Alligator mississippiensis: one gene and its partner. The protein of the gene in region 2 binds, or shares a complex with, the protein of the main gene of each other region. Links are inferred from orthologs where the notes say so. Each region holds a gene or a part of one and is shown on either strand. Other genes may lie near its edges. The genes, in order: CRNKL1 and DHX16.

The links.
Region 1: DHX16 (region 2) and CRNKL1 share a complex: the UniProt entries of both Homo sapiens proteins name them as parts of the minor spliceosome. The link is inferred for Alligator mississippiensis from reciprocal best matches to the Homo sapiens genes DHX16 and CRNKL1.

Annotation. Positions count from the first base shown.
Region 1 is NC_081824.1:229,710,886-229,720,544, reverse strand, and holds the start of CRNKL1 (crooked neck-like protein 1), read right to left. Parts: upstream 3,876-9,659; 5' UTR 3,818-3,875; coding exon 3,770-3,817; intron 1-3,769. UniProt on the Homo sapiens protein: Involved in pre-mRNA splicing process. As a component of the minor spliceosome, involved in the splicing of U12-type introns in pre-mRNAs.
Region 2 is NC_081834.1:53,490,293-53,500,635, reverse strand, and holds the start of DHX16 (pre-mRNA-splicing factor ATP-dependent RNA helicase DHX16), read right to left. Parts: upstream 4,128-10,343; 5' UTR 4,007-4,127; coding exon 3,791-4,006; intron 3,495-3,790; coding exon 3,217-3,494; intron 2,178-3,216; coding exon 2,015-2,177; intron 1,538-2,014; coding exon 1,481-1,537; intron 927-1,480; coding exon 672-926; intron 265-671; coding exon 40-264; intron 1-39. Other genes in the region: PPP1R18 (phostensin), read right to left, coding at 7,755-7,774, 8,455-8,662. UniProt on the Homo sapiens protein: Required for pre-mRNA splicing as a component of the spliceosome. Contributes to pre-mRNA splicing after spliceosome formation and prior to the first transesterification reaction.

The DNA of each region.
Region 1 (9,659 bases), on a different chromosome or scaffold from region 2:
TGTGTGAAATTCCCCCAGTGTGACTAGTGATAGACTGAGAGAGAAGTGGGATGGTAAATACAGGCAGTCCTTGACTTACGTTTCAAGTTACAATGTTTTGCACGTACAACCTTTATAAATTGACACCCTGTTTCAACTTTCTCTGGGGAGCAGGGCAGCGGGGGGACCAAGGCAAGGTGGGAGGAGCAGGCCCCCCTTCGCTCATCTCCTGTGCCCCCGCCATCATGACGGCGGGCTGCCACCTATCCAAATGCTTCTTCACGCTCTGATTGGCTGTTTGTCAGCCAATCAGAGCGCGAATAAAGCATTATGGCCAGACGGATGGACAGACAGATTTAGGCTTTTATAATATTAGAATATAATTATAAGTGTAACATCTGTCAGGGGCCTTAACTACTTAACTGTCTGTAATTGTATGTATGGGAAGTGTTCCCAGCCTCTGGAGCACACTGGAGCCTTTCCAGATTCCCATGTGCTCCAGAGGCTGCACATGCTCAATCAGAGCTCCCAGCCAGGGGAGAGCAACATGTACTTCCATGGCTGGGAGCACTGATAACTGATCTGAGCTCTCAGCTGTGGGATCACCTGGTGCTCTCTCATGGCTGGGACCTGCGATCAGCTGACTGGGGCTTCCAGCCCAGGAGTGCAGGCAGCCAAGCTTGCTACAAGCTATAACGTTTTAATTGGATAAAACTCACCCATATGCTAAATTTTATATGCACGAGCACAGCAGTAAGGTGTGTATACACATGTTTTAGAACTAAGGGTTGTGGTCAGTCTACTGACCATTGCAATTTCAAAGGACTGCTTGTTTTAAAAAGTGGAATGTGTCACTGAGGATCCTCATGGGTGTACAAGTCACCTATGTTGGACTTAGTATCTGATCATAATATTAGCAATAGACTAGACCAGGAATTGGCAGCCTACAGGCTGGATCCAGCCTGCAAAGAGGTCTGGATCTGGCCTGTGGTGGCATGTAGGATCTACAGCACGCAACAGCTTGCCCTGACACCTTCCCCTTCTCTGCCCTGCACCATGCTGCTGATCCCCTCCATAATGCCCCTTTCTGCAGCTCTCATGCCTGTTAAAACAGCCAGTGCTTACTCTCACTGCCAAATTCACCCCTCCTCACTGATGTTTCAGACAGCAAATCTGCAGCACTGGAAGATGCAGGTAAGTGGAGGCAGCAGCAGGGACACTATGGGAAGGAACAGTGCAGCAGGGATTGGGAGCAGCCAGATTGCAAGCACCAGTCCACTGTTTGTAAAAGGTCGCCAACCCTTGGGCTAGGTAACTAATTATAATGCCGTGGCAGTAACACTGCCCCTACTGGTAGCCTGGAGGATTCCATTTTCTTATTTCCATTCCACTACATCAGGTGTGTCAAACACACCGCTCAGGGGCCAGACTGAGCCCCTGGCGCCCACTGGACTACTGGAGTGGCCTGCCACAGAATTCAGGGTGGACATGGCAATTGGCAGCAGGAGGACAAGGAGAATGCTGGTCCCTGCCGCATGTCCTGTGCTGGAGCTACCACCACATGTGGGATGGGACATGTGACAACTGTTCCAGCACCAGACTGGAGCTGCTATTATGTGCTTTAGGTCAGAGCTCAGAACTGTGACCACTGCAATTTTTTTTTTTTTTTTGAAGGAAAAATTTTTGTGTTCCAGGTTAAATTAGCCAGATCAGTTCCAAATCCCTGGAATCATTCAAAAACTTTATGTGGCCCTATTACTGGCAAGTATCCTCCACCAAGTCTGGGGCTTCAGATACTTCCAAATCCTTTGGTAGGCATCCTACGTGCAGGCACAAGCCCGGAAGCTTGGGGTTCAGATGCCCCCATGTTTCACTTGCTCCCAGCCATATGGACGCAGAAGCAAGCTACAGAAGAGTCTCCCATGAAGGCGATGTGTAGCTGTGATCCTCCCACTGGAAGCTGGTCAGTGGGAAGCTAATTATGAGCCTCCCATAGGGAGTCCTGTCTGCAAGCAGATAGGGGTGCATCCTCCACGACACAAAGCTGTAGCCAAGGCTTGCTCCAAGAGCGACCACTGTTGCTGTAGTTTCTTCATATCCTGGGATGCATCTGGCTTGCAAAGAGCCCTGTGGTCTGGATATGACCTGGGGCACAAGGTAAGTCTGATACCCCTGTTTACACTATTTAAAGCAAAAAATAAAATCTGCATTTGAGTGACTTAGGTACAGCCATGCAAAGGCTCCAATCCTGCACTGAGCTCCACACAGGCAGCTCCTGTGCACAGGCCCCTGCTTAAGTGCACCAGCCTCTACGCAGGCTACGGTGGAGCGCCCATGACATCGCTGGCTCCCAAGCAAGTCTGCCCAATTGGGATGCAGGGCAGGAGCCTGGCCCGTGCTTGTCACCTGGTGCCACAGCAAAGGCAGAAGCTGCCAATGGGGCCCATGCTGCACGTTACATACATTACACAACAAAGCAGTCAATTGCACAATAAATTCAGCCCAAAGTCGTTATCACAGCAAAAAAAGGACTGTCCGGCTTTAAGAAGAGGTAGCCGCTTACAATGTGAGTGCTCGAAAATGTGCAACCACTTGACAGCTGATTTCTACCTGGCTTTCATTTGAACCTGTGGCAGGACACTGGGAGCTGGAGCGGCAGCAGCAGAGGCCATGACTCCCATGGGGACCTCTCTGGCCCCAAGGCCGGCCTGACTTGTGCCTTTTAGTGACCAAACCCCAAAGCTGATGTAGAAGAGTTTACTGAGAGGCAGTAGCATGATTTATTAGCCCGAAGAAGCCGTGGCTGAGAGACCCAGCCCTGGCCTAGCTGTGACAAATCTGAGGGTCTTAAATTACCAGGTCTTAAATATGAAATTATCGTATTGGAAGCTCAAAATTATTGTACGTGTTTAAAAACCTATTGTACACAGAAAAATATGGAAATAAGTATGCAAATAAATGTGATTTACTCTATACTGCTCCTGGTAACTTTCCAGGGAGTGAATGAGAACTGGGTTAGAGTCGGAGCATTTCTTTATTTTGAGGGAAGCCATCACAAGTAAGTGCTGATAGCTCAATTGATATGATCTGAATCACTTCTTGGCCTCTTGTGGGCTAAGATCAAGCAGCCTTTTGCAAGGACAGCATCTGAATCGCAAGACCTCCAGGCTTGAGCCTGCACGCAGGACACCTGCCAATAGATTTGGGAGTCCACAAAGTCCCAACATGAGAGGCTGGCATGGAGGATGCTACCACCATACATAGTGTTTACAACTATTGAGCTCTACCTGCTCAACCCACACTGTTTTGGGCATGACTGAGTTCTGCCCAATTGATATGATACAGAGCTGATTTGACCTGGAACATTAAATATATTAATAAAAAAACAACAACCCAAAGGTCAGTTGTCTCCCCGAGAGCAACTTGGGTTTTGCATCAAGGCGCTTCCTCAAAAATGAGTGTGCAGTGTGAGCACATTGACTGTGATTGATGGTGCACCCTACAAGGGTTGAATGAAGGTACAAATCCCATCACCGTGGAACTCCTGGCAGCGGGGGGGGGGGGGGGGAAGGAGGCGCTGAGACGGCCGCTTGCGTCACGGCACCCTCCCCACCCCGGTGCTCCAAGCTGCGCCCCCCTCGCGGCAACACGCACTTGGTAGGTCCCGGCCGCGGGCCCGGGCCCTGCCCCTCCCACCACCCCGCCGGGCTGCGCACCCCGCAGGAGCGGGGGGGGGGGGGAGGGGCAGGTCACGGACACTCTATCCCCCCACAGCACCGCTCGCGCGCACCTTCGCCACTTTGGGGATCCGCTGCTTGCCGGCCGCCGTAGACGCCATGTTACCGCCTCTCCGGGCCCGAGAGGCCTCAGCCCTGACCTTTCACCTCCGCCCCGCGCGCATGCGCGGAGTCGCCCGGGTCGTTGCCGCGGTAACGGCGGCGGCGCGTCTCCCGCGGCTGATCCGTTGCTGCGGCTGCGACCGCTCCTGCGTCCTCCCGGCGCCGCCGCTCGCCTCGGCTCCTGCAGGGCGCCCCGCCCCTGCCCGCGCCGCCCCAGCAGCCCGAGGGCCGGGCACTCCGATCTGCTCCATCCTGCCGAGGTGAGTGACGCTGTGGGCCGCGAGGATAGCAGCGGTCTCCCCTGGGCTCGCGCCACGAACTGCATCCCCCAGCATGCCGCGCGGGCCGGAACTACCACACCCAGCATGCCGCGCGGCACTCCTGCCGCCCAACATTTCCTCCCTCTCCCCTCGGTCGTCCCTTGTGCGACCCCTCGCGCCCGCCCGGGGCACTGCGGGGCGGGGTGATGGGGCCCTCCCTGGGGCGGTGCTGCCTAGCCATTTCTGGCTTCCCCAGCCGCAGCCTCCTCCCCTGTTGCAGGTCTGCGCGGCCAGGCGGGTGCTTGCCATGTAGGACTTGGGAGAGGCAGCTTGCCCGATGAGCCTGAAGTCAGGCAGGGAGAAGTACACTTTATAGCCCAGCTGAGCTGCCCTCAGCAAGAGTTTGCTCTCTCATGTGCTCACTTGAAAAAAAGGCATCAAATGGGAAGATGTTAGGAAGAATTTTCTCACTAGGAGGGTGGTGAAGCACAGGAACAGGTTACCCAGAGAGGTGGTGGAAGCTCCATCCTTGGAGGTTTTGAAGACCTGGCTAGACAAAGCCCTGACTGGAATGATCTAGTTGGGGATGATCCTGCTTTGAGAAGACTAGACTAGATGACCTCCTGAGATCCCTCCTAACCGTCATTTTCTTTGATTCTACAATAGCCCTGCATGTGGGCCACCCTACAGATATAGTGCCCTCACATGTAAAAGTGCAGGGATGCATGGCTAAGGAGAGGGGAATCACAGTTGTGGTGGGGCAGGGAGACCCACAGCATTACTAGAGGCCCCTGCCTCTTGCTCCTGATGCCAAGTTAGGAGAGGTGCCAGGATTACCCACCACCCTTGTGGAGTCTGAGCCTCAGCAGCATTGCCTTCCTGGGAACTCTGAAACAGCTTGCCTGCTACTGCTTTAAGAGCAACAGATGAGGCAGGCTGAGCACAAGTGGTGACAGCAGCAGCTCAGCTGGGATGGTGTAGGAGTCCCAGCATGGGTAAGGCTGCTGCGCCCCAGCTCTCCTTTTAGAACTTTGGCCCCCTGTCCCCCAACTGTCAGAGCCTGTGCACCAACCCCTGCCTTCCTCCATGCTCCCCCGTAGAGTTTCCCCCCAGCTGCCAACTTTGTCATGCCGCTGAGGCGGCCTCTTAAGGAATGTAAGAAGTGGGGATTTCCCTTTGCTTATTAGCAAATCTGGGTCTGCCTGTCAGCCATCCAAGGAGGTTGCACCTCTGCCCTCAGCAGCATTGTAACTGCTGACATTTTTCTTACACGGTCACTTGTTTGCCCAAGTGAGCATAATTGGTTCTGCAGATGCATTCTTGCTAGTCTTCCTGTAATGGGAAACAAGTCCATGTGAGCCTGTGTTAGTGAATAAGGGATGTGACATTAGTAGCCTTTAGAGGATGTGTACAGTGAACGAGTGATGGTAGAGGCCTTTATTTAGAGGGTCAAAGTCTCTGACCAGCTGGAAGAGAAGATACGGATAAAAGGCCTGGGAGAGAACCACTGCCCTCAATCTCATAGATTTTCAGGGTCAGAAGGGGTGCCAGGCAGGCAGTATCTCCATGGAGACCTGCCAAGGACCCCTGCAGGCAGGGCATGTTATGTTTTGGTGGTTGGCATGGGGCTGCGGGCAGGCGGGGAGCAGCGTCCAGGAACAGGATGGGTGGCTGGGGCCAGGGCTGAGATTGTAGGGTGGTAACAGCATGGGGCAGAGCCATGATCCACTTCTTAAGTGGTCCTCCAGCCCAAATAATTGCCTACCCCTGATTTAGTTGGTAAGGTCTAGTTCTACACAATAAAACCCATGACTGTGACTTGGATACTGGGTGGTTATAGGGGCCTTCCCACAAGTATGAGCATCTAGGATTGGGACCTGCGATGCAATATGGTATTGGGAAGTTGGGATGAGGTAGGGGCTCCTGTCTCTATAAAGTGTATAGAAATTATAAGATGAGATGTGTCAGGACCCAGGGCAGCGGCCAGCAGCTCTCTCTGACTCTCACCCGGGCAGATAAGGGTCCAGGGCCTTAGAAGGCTGTCAGGTGGGTATTTGTGAAGCTTGGAGTGGAATTAATTAGGCGGACGCTTATCGGTTGTAAAGCAAGATTATTTATTTATGCCATCAAGGTGGTGAATAGCGGAGGTCAGAGATACTTGGTTAGTTATAGCTTAAGGTTCGTAGGTCATAGGTCGGTCTGTATAAGAGTTCGTTGGTCGGGCAGATAAACGGAGAAAAAATCGGGCCGGCAGGTCATTGATTTACGTCTGATAAGGTCGAGACGGGGGAGACTGACAAGTGATCAATTTGTCAGTTATTTTTACGCATACATTTAGAGGTTTTTTAGGTGTGTGTGCGGAGGTCTCCCGTTCTTCACGGAAGTGAAGACGGGTTTTATTTGTATATTAGCCAATTGTTTTTTGTCACGTCATAAATTTAATGAGAATCGCCAATTGTATAGTGGTTTTTATTAGGGTGTTTGTCATAGGGACACTCCCCTGTCATTCCGACCAATTGTAATGATTTATATAAAGCAAAGAAGGCAAAAGTTTTTATCTCTGTTAGTGGCGCAGTAATAAATTTCTTTTTGCATGCGCAGCAAAAAAGCGGTTACTATCATTATTGTTAACCCTTAGTTAACCTAGTGTAGAAAAAAACTGTTTTGAATGGTTTTACTTGTTTGTGACATGGGCACTATTTAATTTGGTTGTGACATGTCCCCTTGTCCATGGCACAGCAAGTCACATCATGTTTATATATAGACCATTTTGTTTATCATTGTTAGTGTTTGGCAAGCGAGTGTATATAAAAGCAAAAAGCGTGGTTAACTTAGTTTTGAGATATTGTAAAATCCAACAACTAAAACACACAAATATAACAATGGCTATTATGATCCATGGTAAACACAAGATAATCAAAGATGCCGACACTTGAATTAACTTAAACGCAGTAAACTGTTATTTTTGATTTTATGTAATTTTTTTTAATTCGATTTTTTTAAGGTAACTGAGAGTGAGGTATCAGATTAATGCCCCCTATACGGAGGGTTTTTAAAATTGTGGCTTATTATATTTGAGTTAAATCGTAGCTCTGAAAACACCAATTTTTTGTATTGTCATTAGCGGCTTTTTTTTATTGTCACCTCTCTTCTCAAACCATTTCTTTTCCTCTTCTTTGAATGTATAGGTTCCTTTAGAACCTTGACTATTTGTCCCCTTTTATCATCATCTCCCTCATCTCTTTTTTTACGTTTTTTTAATCAATGTTTTTGTCTATATCCGACTTTTTTGTGACATCCCCCAAACCTTCAGACTATCAATGTTGGGGTTTTTTTAATAATTTAGAGCTTTTTATTCAAAACATTATGACTTGGTTTTATTGCGTAAAGTCTCAAACAGGCTTTAAAACAAAACAAACAAGTATGTATAAGATCATTAACAGGAAAAGAAAAACCATTAAATGAGTCATTAGTTATGTCTTTGGCCTAAAATGACAAAAGGTTGAGGACCGAGTTGGAGGTTTTGAAGTCAGCTCCGTTCGCCGAAGAAACTGTTGGTAACAGCAGGAATAGAGCGACGACCCTGCTTGCAACATATGAGCAGGGGCGGTCATTGTGTCGTCGACTCAGGTGTGCTGCAGATTGGTGTTCGGTGATTTTTGTGATCGGGCAGTCACAGATTGTCTCTTCGTCACCGCTGGGCCTGTAAGGGAACAAAATAAACGAACAGACAAACAAACAAAGAAAACTAAAAAATAATAAAATTGTCTTTTGTATATCTACGAGCATAATGTCGTAGTGGTTGGAATAGTTTATAGATGCCCCCTTCGAGTAGTTGTTTGTTGGGGCAGGCTGCGGTGTTATCCAGAGTGCGCTGTTAGGCGTGGGTGCCTCCGGGGCCCGGACCAGTTGGCGGGATCGGTCGAGGTTGGTAGCCTAGTATATGTGTCAGTTGTCATTGTCCCGCATCTTCTAGGATGTGCAGCCGTTGTTTGGTAAGCGTGAAGTAGTTTAGGAGGAACCCAAACATGGCTCTTTCCTCTGGTGTCCTCTGGGATGGCAGTCTTGATTTTTTTCGTGAGTTGAATTGGGAATGTCTTGGTCTTTGGTATTTGACTGGATATGCAGTAAGATAGCTTATGGCCATGGCTGAGTTTGCGGTTGTTGACTTTACAAGGGCTTGTAGTCGTGGAAGTTGACTTAAAAGATTTTCTGCTGGCTGAGTAACGAGCAGGTTGAGGAGAAGGCGAAGGGTGATGGTGTCCTCTTTTTTATAAATCTCCATGTATGCTTTGATGACATCAAGGGTGGTGGTGGTGGTTGCACCCTCTGGGTTGGTTATTTGCTTGGTTATTGTTATAGGATGAGCGGCAGCTGTAGTTGTTATTGTGTCTGGTGGGAGGATCGGATTCTCGCTCGTTGTCCCCTCCCTGTGGGACAGAGGTGGGGCCGTTGGGAGCGACGTCATCTCAGGGGGCGGGCTTGTTGGGTGGAGTCCCACCTGTTCTTTTGTGGCTCTGCCCTTCTTTTTTAGGTCCTCCGGGCAGCTCATATTTTTTTGGTGTCATTTTTTTGTGGCAACGGAGGGTTTTGGCACGCTGTCATCTCCACAGCAGCTTTGCTGCCTGTAGCTAACTGGGTTTTTAAGTTTGTATTTTTATGCAGTAGGAGTGACACTACATTAATCATCTTTTTTTTGTCCCACTCGGAGCTTGCCCATTCCTTTCCGACTCCCTCCTCTCCTCTCAGCAAGAAGTAGCCGCTGACGCACCCTGTCTCCGCTCTGCTTGCTTGGTGATAAGCGATGTGGGCCCATAATTTATCCGCGTTATGTATGCGGGACCCCCCACTACACCAGGGGCAGTTCTTAATTAATTTTCACTCCATCACATTTCCCCTTAATCCTGTTTGTGACGCCATGTCGGGACCCAGGGCAGCCGGCCAGCAGCTCTCCCTGACTCTCACCCGGGCAGATAAGGGTCCGGGGCCTTAGAAGGCTGTCAGGCGGGTATTTGAGACTGACAAGTGATCAATTTGTCAGTTATTTTTAGGCATACGTTCAGAGGTTTTTTAGGTGTGTGCGCGGAGGTCTCCCGTTCTTCACGGAAGTGAAGACGGGTTTTATTTGTATATTAGCCAGCTGTTTTTTGCCACGTCATAAATTTAATGAGAATCGCCAATTGTATAGTGGTTTTTATTAGGGTGTTTGTCATAGGGACACTCCCCTGTCATTCTGACCAGTTGTAATGATTTATATAAAGCAAAGAAGGCAAAAGTTTTTATCTCTGTTAGTGGCGCAGTAATAAATTTCTTTTTGCATGCGCAGCAAAAAAGCGGTTACTATCATTATTGTTAACCCTTAGTTAACCTAGTGTAGAAAAAAACTGTTTTGAATGGTTTTACTTGTTTGTGACATGGGCACTATTTAATCTGGTTGTGACAAGATGCTGCTTTCTCTGGTCTGTATTAGTCAGGTATGCTGATCCAAAATAAAATGTAGGGAGATGAAACTTTAACCATTTAAGAGGGGAGTGAGTCTTGAGCATGCACTGGAGCTGTTCCAGTTTAACTGCTACATCTC
Region 2 (10,343 bases):
CGTGGTGCCCCTAGGTGGTGAACAGGTCCTAGCCCCAACCTTCTCCTGCTGGATGCCCTGCATCTGCACGGCGCTGACGAATTGGATCATCTCATCCTCCTCCAGCACGTACTCATAGTCCTTGTGGGGATGGTGCTGGCTGGCATCACGGGCCCCGAAGCGCAGGGCAGCCGCCCCAATGTGCTCCTCCTCCCAGCGCTGCTGCTCATCTCGGGGAGCCGTGCGCTCATCTGCCTGCGGCTCCTCATAGTGGTCGGGGATTTTCTGTAGAGACATGAGAGTTCTAGGGTATGAGTCAAGCCCCAGCAGAAATGGTCCCTGGCTGGAGGCTCACACACTGACCCTGGCTCTAGGTAAATCAGACTGGGTGACAGGCTCATCCAAGTCTCCTCCACTGCTGCATGGGCCACCCAAGAAGGAATCTCATTCCCTTTCTGACCAGTCCTACAGCCACCCACCAGGGCACTGAGCACCGCCACAGTCCACCCCCTCAACCCCCTGGTCCCCAGACACACCCTAAATCCCTCAACCCCCTCACCTTGGGCATGTCTCACAGGCCCTTTCTTTACCTCCCCAATCCCCAGGCAGGTCTCCCACACTAGAGAGTGCTACCTGAAAGGTGAGGAGCACCCACTATGGCTGCCCCATCCCCTCCTCCAGGGGGAAGATACCTTGCTGCGACTCTCCTCGGGGATGTAGTAGCGGTTGCTCTTCTCCAGTTTCTCCTTCTCGCCTGCCTGCTTGTACTCCTTGGCCAGGTCGCGCACCCGGCACTTGTACTCCAGCTCCCGCTGCTCCCGCGTCGTCAGCTCCAGCTCCGAGAAGAGGTATTTCTCATCTACAATCTCTGCCTCCAGATCCTCCAGCTTGTCCCGCTCCCGCTTGGCCAGGTAATCCCGGCGTGACTTCTTACGCAGCTCAGGAACCTGGAAGTGAGACATGGGGGGAAAAAGACCAGAGGTTAAACTCCTGGACACCTGGGTTCCAACCCCAGCTCTGGGAGGAGGAGAGGGAGCAAAAAGCCAGGACTCTTGGATCCTTTTTGATTCAAGGAGGTGGTTATGGAAAGGCTGACAAAGCAGATCAGAAGAGAGTGGATTTCCCAGTTCTGGCAGTGAGACCCTGGTGCAACCCTGGGCTAATCACTTGGGTGATCTGCCTCCGTTTCCCCTCTCTGCACAATGGAGTCATCAGCCTCTAAACAAGGGGGGTGGGGAAGGGACTGCACAGCAGCTCAGCTAAGCAAGAAGAACAAAGAAGTGAGGGAGAGATTGCTGGGCTAGATGGGGCCCATATGTCTGACGCACAAAGGCAGGACACCAAGACAGCGGGGCCTGCTGGCACAATCTGGGGCAGGACATCATGTTAGATGGGCCCTTCACTCTGATCCAGGGTAGTGAGACACTGGGCAAAATGAGCCAACAAATCCCTGGTCACCCACAAGAGAAGAAAGGGAAGGCGAAGGTGACAAAGCCCTTACCATGGATTTCTGATTCTCTTCTGCCATCTTCAGTCGCTTCTGAGCCTCCTCATAGGCCTGAGCTCAACAAAGAGGGGAAAGGGAGAGAAGTTCAAGTCATGCAGATGGCCCCAGATGGTCTCCTATACAGCCCTGACCCACCCCGTCCCTGGCCTTAACCTGCCTCTGGGGCTTAAAGGGCCCAGCAGGGCATATGGTGCACAGTCCCACGATGGGAAGGAGCTGGGGCTACCAGATACTACACCCTGCTCTGCTAATCACCCACTTCTTCACCCTCATGAAAGGAAATGGATCTGTCTCCTGCCCTGACTTCCACTTCAGCTTCTCCCTCCCTGCTGCCCTTGCATTCACTGGGTTTGCAATCAGCCCATCAAGAGGCGGGTATTATGGGCACTGGGGAGGGACCTCCAGGATCAGAGGCAGGTCGTAGGAGAGGAGTTGGGTCTAACCTCAGAGAGCAGGAAGGATCCCAGAGTAGCTGGGTCTGAGGACTGGGCAAACAGCCTCTCATTAGGGGATGGGACAGGGACTTGCCTTCTTGTCCGAGCACTCCAGAACATTCCTGGTCCGATCCTTGTCCTTTCGCCGGATCCGCTCAGCAAAGGCATCCCGCTCCTCCAGGTCCCGCAGGCGATCCCGCTCGCTCTGCTCCCACTCATCCTCCGAGTCCTTCTTTGGTGGGGACTGTGCTGCCTCCCTGCCAAGAGAAGCCAAGGCCATAGCACCAGAGAGCCCCAGGCATGGGCCTGGGTCCACTGCTGTGCCAAGCACTGCGAAGACAAGGAAGATGGCCCCCACTTCAGAGTACAGACAGAAGGGAAGAGCCCAAGAAAACACCGAGACAGTCCTGGCAGCATGGGGGCGGTGGTCTAAGAACATCAGCAACTTACTGCAAAGTCCTGCGAGTGTCGTGGAAAAGAAGGGCTACAAGAAATGATTGGAAGGAAGATTGTGAGCTAGTTTGTGGGATTTTACAGGGAGACCCTTCAGTGTGAGGGGCAGCACAAGGGGAAGTGTGGCTGGACATGTCTGAAACAAGAGGGCAATGGAAGCTGGCATTATGGGCTGACCAGAGGCAGAACATGACGTCTCACTATAGGGGGATGCCAGGCAAGGCGGCAGTTAGGCCGCAAGAGTGAACACACGCTGGTGTCTGACAGTGCAAAGGAGGAGCCCACAGAGACAAGCACGGAGAGGGGGGTGCAGTCACCAAGATGAGCTAGGAGAATGACCCTGGCAGCAGGATGGCGAAGGGCCAAGCTGCCTTGGTGAAGACTAGAAAAAGGGTGACTTTGAGGCACTGAGATGAAGTTTTAGTGATGTGGGTGGGCAGGGAAAACCAGCCTTTCAGGGGGTTACACAGAAAACAGCTGCAAGATTGACTCAGAGCCCAGACAGCAGAGCTTGCAGGAGAACCTGGTAAAAACGATGCCGACTGCATGGGCCGGGAGGACAGGCAGACTGCGGCCCTGCCCACACAGAGCTAAAAGCAGGCGAGCAAAACCAGAAGGCGGGGGCAGGGAGGCTAAGAGCTCTCTCCGACTTGGCCACATTGATTGCTGAGCAGGGCACGCACTGGGTGCCAGGCCGAGGCTTTGGCTGGGAGAGGGCTCTGGAGGACCCAGGTGGATCTGGGACACAGTGGTGGAGAGGTGGGGAGAGAGGTTCATCTCTGGGCGACTCCACCTGCAGGGAGAGGCCCGGCACCCCACCCACCCACCCACCCACCCACGCACCTCCCTGGCTCCGCCTCGCTCTCCTCTCCCGAGGTCTCGTCCCGCTTCCGGCGCAGATGCTTGCGCCGCTTCTTGTGCTTCCCTCCCTCGGGGCTGCGCACGGAGCCGGGGGTGCTGCCCCGGGCCCGGGCCCCCGCCCCCCGGCGCCGCCCGGCCTCCTCCGCCTCCTCCTCCTCGCTGTCCTCCAGCAGCTGGTACGAGCGGTTCTTCTGCTGCAGAGCCAGCGCCTCCCGCTCCGCTGCGCGCGACGGCCGCTCCGCAGGGGCCTGGCGCGGGATCTGGGGTGGCAGAAAGACATCGAGTCACTCCTCCGCCCTGACGCTTTCCTTTCCCCCCAGTGGTGCCCCGCCCCTTCCCCATTGGCTCCTCCCCCTCCTTCCTCAGTTCAGCTCCCCCCCCACACACTGCCCCTCCCCCTCAACCACGCTCGACGCCCGCCCAGCGGTGGCCCCGCCCCCAGTAGGAGGCCCCGCCCCCTCAGCTAGACCCCCCCCCCAGCCAGGTTCGATCCCCCCCGCGGCGGTGGCCCCGCCCCCAGAAAGAGGCCCCGCCCCGCCCCGGCGGCCCCGCCCACCTGGTCCCAGAGGCGCTGCGCGAAGCTGCGCACGGCCGGGTCGCTGACGTTCAGGGTCTCGGTCTGCTCCAGGCGGCCCAGCAGGTCCTCGGGGCTGTGGCTGCGCCGCGCCAGCCCCACCAGGAAGGCGGCCACGTGCCGCTCGCTCAGCCCCAGCAGCGCGTGCAGCTCCCCGGACACCCACCGCTCCAGAGCCGCGGGGCCGCCCCCCGCCATCTTCGTCCGCTGAAGGCCCCTTCGGGGCCACCGTCTCCGCTGCCAGCTTCAGTTTCCCGTCACGTGACGCCGCGGGCCAACCAGCGCACGGGCGGGGCGCCTGGAAGCGGCCGCTGAACTGCGCAGGCGCGCGGCGCTCTCGGCTTCGTCTGCCGTAATGCGTGAGCGATGAGCCGCGGGTGTGCGCCACATTAGGCGCTTCTACCGTAATTACATCAGCAGATGCCGTTGCACCTTCATGAAACCTTCACCAGGGGTGCGCTCCTGTGGGATGCTGCTGCTCTGGTCTGGCCCCTGGTGCCATAACTAGGAGCTATGAGTCACACCTGGCTTCTATGTTGCAGTGGAGGCACGTGGGATGCACCAAATCCTCTGCGCTGTGAGCTGAGCCTGGCCTCCCTTGGGACTGCTTCTGCCCTCGTTAACATAAAATGGGCCCTTAGCCAGGCACTTGTGCATCTTTACCATAATGACTGTAATCTGCGCTGCGCTGCACTGCGAACAGCAGCTGATGGGGCTTATGAGGCCTCGGGGCTTGCGGGCACTACCTGCGGGATCCCAAGTCCTTACTGTGATTTCAGCCCTTTAAGTTGCAAGTTACTCAGTGGAGGGACACGCAGCAAGGTGCAGCCAAGCCAGGTTGCTGTATGGGATCTGCACTGTGGTGAACCCAACCTGCTAGGAGAGAGGGGGGCTCTGCCCTCAGTTGTTGCCATCACTGCTCATGCAGGGGGTTTAATGCGGGCGGGGGGCTGTTCCAATCACTAGAGAGCAATAGTGTAACAGCGCGCAGGGTGCAAAAATAGCAACCACTGTAGGCACCTAGTGCTGCCCCGTCTGCTACACTGCCTCAGGCATGGAGTTGTCCTCCTATTACTCTCCCAGGAGCAAACGTGGTCCCAATCTGTGGCCCACCATCTGATTGCAGCTTTAATTGCTTTCTTGGACTTCAGCTGAAACCCATGCTCCCACCTCTTGCCTCAAACCCACGGTCTGAAGCAGTGTTACCAGGGCCACAGCTCCCAGCCAGCTCCTGACCTGGACCTATCCAGAAGCTGGCAGCATATGTATGTGCTGCCTCCTGACTTGGCTTCTGCCCGCAATTAATGGGGTATGAGTCAGCTTCCTACTCACCTGTTTTGTTTAACACCCCCTGTTCCTGTTTGACCACACGTGAGTCAACTTCCTGCTTAAATCTTTCTATAGATGTAAGGGACCGACAAGGGAGCTCATTTCCCTTCATTACCAGGCTTGAGTCAAACTATTAATTGCTACTATATTTCTATGCCCTTGAGTCACGCACTTCACGACATTTCTAGGCATAGGAGTTTTCTTCCCAATTGGCTTCCTGCTATAATTTACCAATGTATAACCTGTCTACCAAAGTAGCTTTGTTTTTTACAGGCCTGGATTTTACCCTATTTACAGATATAAGTTGATTTATCCTCTCCAGCCACATACCTCATTGTCTTCCAGCCAGAGAAGGTGCATTCTAGTTGGATGCCACACGAGGGATTCAGCAGCCCCATAGGATGTGACCCTTGTAGCACTAACTGGGAGATTCCAGGTGTAAGGCAAAGGACAGCAGAGCTTTGTGCTGCTGTGATGGAGAGAATGTGACAGGGAACAGCACTGGGTGCATCCACTGTGTGTGATCACCGAGTGTGTGTGCTACCAAGAGCAGAGCCAGGTCTCTGGCCAAAGAGCAGGGGCAGCTGCATTTCAGCATCCCAGTTAAGAGATTGAGATGAGTTTCTTTAGATGGGTTTTTGTAGTGTAGTTGTTATCATATTTGCCTAAGATGTGAAAGGTCCCTGGTTTGAGACTGGGCAGAAACAAGAGCCTGTTTTTTTTAGCCTACCCTGAAAATCTTTAAGAGGAGACTGGACAGGCACTTTGCTGGGGTCACCTGACCCCTGTTGTTTTTCCTGCTCCATGCAGGGAGCTGGGCCCAATGATCTTCTAAGGTCCCTTCCAGCTTTACAATCTATGAATCTATGAGATGCAGATCTGGGTTCATTTCAGGCTGTGACTTCCAAATAAGGGCTGCAAGGGAGACAGGTCCTTGCAGTGCCATCTGCCATCCATGGGGAGTGCATGGGAGCTGTGTCCTCATGATCTGGTCCATTACCCTAGGAGCTGAGGTAAACACAGGTAACAGAAGGCCAGGTCCACGTGCAACACTGCTCTCTTTTATTATTATTATTATTATTATTATTATAAAATAAAAAACGCTGTTGGGAAAAAGGTCAGAGGTGACCCCCAAACCTTCCACCTTCCCCTCCCCCTCACTCCCTGCTGCAGCTCAGACCTGGCACGGACATGGGTTAAGTTAAGAGAGGTCATGACGCCCTGTATCTCTCTCACCCTCCCCAGCTGGCTGCCCCTGCCACTGTCCGGGCAGGCGGCTGCAGTCCCTAGCAGCAGGCAAGGGTGCATCTGTTCCTTCCAGTGCAAAAGGAAAGGAAAAGACATGGATCACAATACTGAGAACAAGCTGAGCTCATCGGGGAGGGGACGACTGCAGCCAGTTCCTCACTCTGCCCTTCACCCCTTCATCTGATTCCACAGTTGCTCCATGCTCAGACCTGCTCATCTGGACCTCCACAGAAGGAGGTAAATAATGTTGCTCCATCTAAACAGGAAACGGAGTGGCTAAACAAGGAAGTCATACCTCTATCCTTCCCTCCTCTTCCCTGCTGCCTCTACTTTCAGCTGGCTCCTCCCCAGATCCCTACTGACTCTACCTCCTGTGTCGTGTCCCATCTCCCCCCGCCCCCCCCGCCCTGAAAAAACACATATTGCCCTCCCCTCTCTGGGCATCAGGTCTTGCACCATGTACATAAAAATGGCTATGCCCAAATGTAACTAGCTCCCCCGCAACCCCACCCACCTCAACCCCTTCTGAAGTCCCAATCTGCCCCACCCACTAATACTGCCTGGATGTCCTCCTATTGACAACAGGACCCCCCACCAGTCACAGACTGGCCAGCCCCCTGTACCAGTTGGCTCTGCCCCAATTACATATGAACCCCAACAAGTAACAAATGGAACCCTGCCCCTCCCCAATACCAACAGCACTTGTCCCGTGTCCCCACCTGCCTCGTGCCCTCCCTCAACGGTAGAATCCCCTTAACTGTGACCCCTGTGACAGCTTTGTTAGAAAATAAAAACCCCTGTAACAAAAGTCAACCCCTCCCCCTCCCCTCCATACCCCACCCCACCCCACCCCAGTCCCTTACAAAACAGGGTGCAGAATTACAAAAGAAGCTTGTGCGGGTGTGTCTGGGAGCAGTTTTCACTGCCCCCGACCCCCACCACTGAGTCCATCCCTGCCCAGCTCTCCTACTGTTTCTGTGGCAGGCAGCAGGTGGAATCAGCTCTCAATACAGTCCATGGGATTAAAGAGCTCTCCCAGCAGCGGGAAGCAGAGCTCCCAGCACAGTGCAGGTGGGTGGGGGGTTCTTCTTTGTGGCTCCCTGGATCACATGTTGTTCCTTGGCCTCAATTCCCAGCTGGGCCATGCCGGGAGTAGTCAAAGAGATGGACAGTATCCCAGCTCCACTGTCCTGATAACAGCAAGAGGGACCTGGGGCTATCAGCCCTCCAGTGCTTGCTCTGTTTCAGCCCCCTTCTTGCTGGGACTTTACTGGAAGACAAAAGAGACGGGGCTGGCTGGGACCCCATTGTGACAGGGCAACTTCTGGATCAGCCCTGCTTCCCCCGCTGTAAGGAGGAGCTCACGAGGCTACCGCCTGCAGGATTCATCTGTCAGGAGAGAAAAAAAAAGGGGGAACTGAGTAGGGAAGCAGAGGTAGCAACTGGAGAACCAAAAGGGGAAGGGAAGCCAGGAGTCCACGCTCCCAGGCTCCAGGGCTCGAAATCACCAGGCCCCTCCTTCCCTCCCATGCTGGAGAGAGGTCGCAGGTATCCCACCTCCAAGCCCCCACAAACACATCTCTAACCCTCCCTCACCCCACTGTGTGCCCCAAGGTGAGAAGAGAGCCCAGGTGTCCTGCCTTGCAGCTCCCCAGTACTCTGATCCACTAGGTGCTTGACCACAGCAGCAAGGCGCACTGGGAAACTGGAAGTGAGCGAGGGGGCTGGGAGCACAGCTGCAGCTACACAGGTTGCAGGGGAGGAACAATTTGTCAGACACATGGAAACTGGAATAGGCTGGATGGATGCCTTTGTTCCAGGGCATGAGCTGCACCCCGCCATTCCCCGCGACAGCCAGCAGATGGAGCCCTCAGGCCTGCAGTGGGGTGAGCAATAGCCTTGCCCAGGGGTGGGCAGCACAGCAGAGAGATGCTAAGATTTTCCAGGTGGTCCTTCAGGGCTGACTACACCCTGTTCCCGTGGCACAGTGCCCCTTATGGCATGGGATCAGCCCTGCCTGCCAGAAACAGCATCCCCCACCCCAACCTCCAGCAGCACAGGAGACTCACCCACAATGAGGGGCTTGGTCCCGAGCACCCCTGGGATGCCCCGATGAAGAAGCAGAAGCTCCTCCTCTTCCTCATCGTCCTCCCCATGGGGGTTGGCCGAGGGTGGGAGGTCCAACTCCTCAGGGGGTCCAAACTCCTCCAGCAAGGACCCCTCCGATGGGTACTGGAAAGTGCGCTCCAGCTGGCTCTCGCTGAATGAAATCTTCAGCTGCATGGGAAAGGCAGGGAGGATCAGACCAGCAAGCCCATCTAGCCTGGCATCTCAGCCCCTCTCCACCCCCTGCCTGGATTGCCATCTAGCCTGGAGTCCTGCCTCTTAGCATACTGGATAGATGCTTGTCTCCCCTGTCCCCCATCAAGCAAGACCCTGTAATTACCAATTGCTGTGTCCTGTCTTAGGCCCTGCAGTAACATGCCAATGGGGTGTACGCATGGCATGAAGAGCCCCTGCAACAACAAGTCTGGGCTTGGGCTCCACCACTCTCGAGGGGCCCTACAATAACACCTGTGTGCTGAGGCCTGGAGACCCTTCAGGAGCAAACGATACAGGCTGAGAAATCCACCCCTCCCCAACAAACCACAGGACCCAGCCCCAGAGCTGGGACCCACTCCACCAACAACACACCCACAGTCCCACAATAACGCCCACGTGCTGAGCTTCCCTGCTGCCAAGAGCCCCTCCAGCAGTAGCCGTTTCATACTCAAGGCTCCACTTGTTCGATTCAAAGTCCCCCTCATTAAATTCAAGGCACCCTTTGGAAGGTGCCAGCTCTTTGTTTTTACTCTTTTTTTACTACAGAAAAATAATAGAACGATTCTTCTGTTGCAAAGAACTCAGACAGACCACCAAAGGTCAGAATGCTTTTAACACTATGGGTTCCTATCTGAAATCTCTGGGTTTATCTTGTGTAGTATGTTTGCACCTTAGCAGTGCTAACATTGTGTGGCACCCCATGGCACCCTTGAAATGGTGTAAAGGTACCCCAGGGGGGCTGCAACATCCTGGTTGAGACTTCCTGTCCTACAACAACAAAGCAGTAACATTAGACCCTCCAGTAACAGAGCAGTCAATTAAGCCCCTTGCTGCTTACAGGAGACCCTAGCATAACAAACCCTTTGGGAGCCTTCATGACTCTCTCCCCTCTGCCATGGGGTCTGGTGGGTGCCCCTGCCAAGAGGGTGCCCCTGCCCCCACCCCAGCCAGGCACAGAGCAGCAGGAGACACAGCAGGAGATAAACCCTGCAGGAAATGAGATTAGTTGTCCTGTCCTGCCTGCAGAGAAAAACGATTTCACCAAGGGCAACAGCCTCCTCTTCACCTTGAGGTGCAGCCAGGCTAGGCCACAAATAGCGATAGGGGAAGGAGGGGCCCTAATGCAGCACTTGGATATGCCCACGCCACGTCTGGGGTAGAGCAGGTGGAGTCGTAGCCGCACAGGGATCACACCCCTGGTGCTGAGATGCAACCGCCTCTGAGGTGGGACGGCTGGGTCATAGCCACACAGCCGCTGGGGGCAAGAAGGGAAAGTGTCAGGACTCTGCCTGATCATGGCTGTGGGGCGCAGGATTTTGGATAGTAGTATGGAGCTGAGTTCTGGCCAGATGTGTGAACAGTCAGGGCTTCAGTGGTACATATCAACCATGGATGGCACAGTCCCTCTGGTAGACATGCTAGGGACCATGCCAGAGCTCTCTGTGGCCCAGTGCCCCTGACTGCTGACCTGGGGTGCTAGGGTGAGCACTGTCTGCAAAAAGTCAGTGTCCCCTGACCCTGCCTGTCTGCAGTGGTCTTCCAGCTCAGCACAGCCCCAGTGCCCTGCTGCTCTGCCTGCCTCAGGGCTTAGCCCAGGTGCTGCCCACCACCCCCACCCACTGCCAGCCCAAAATAT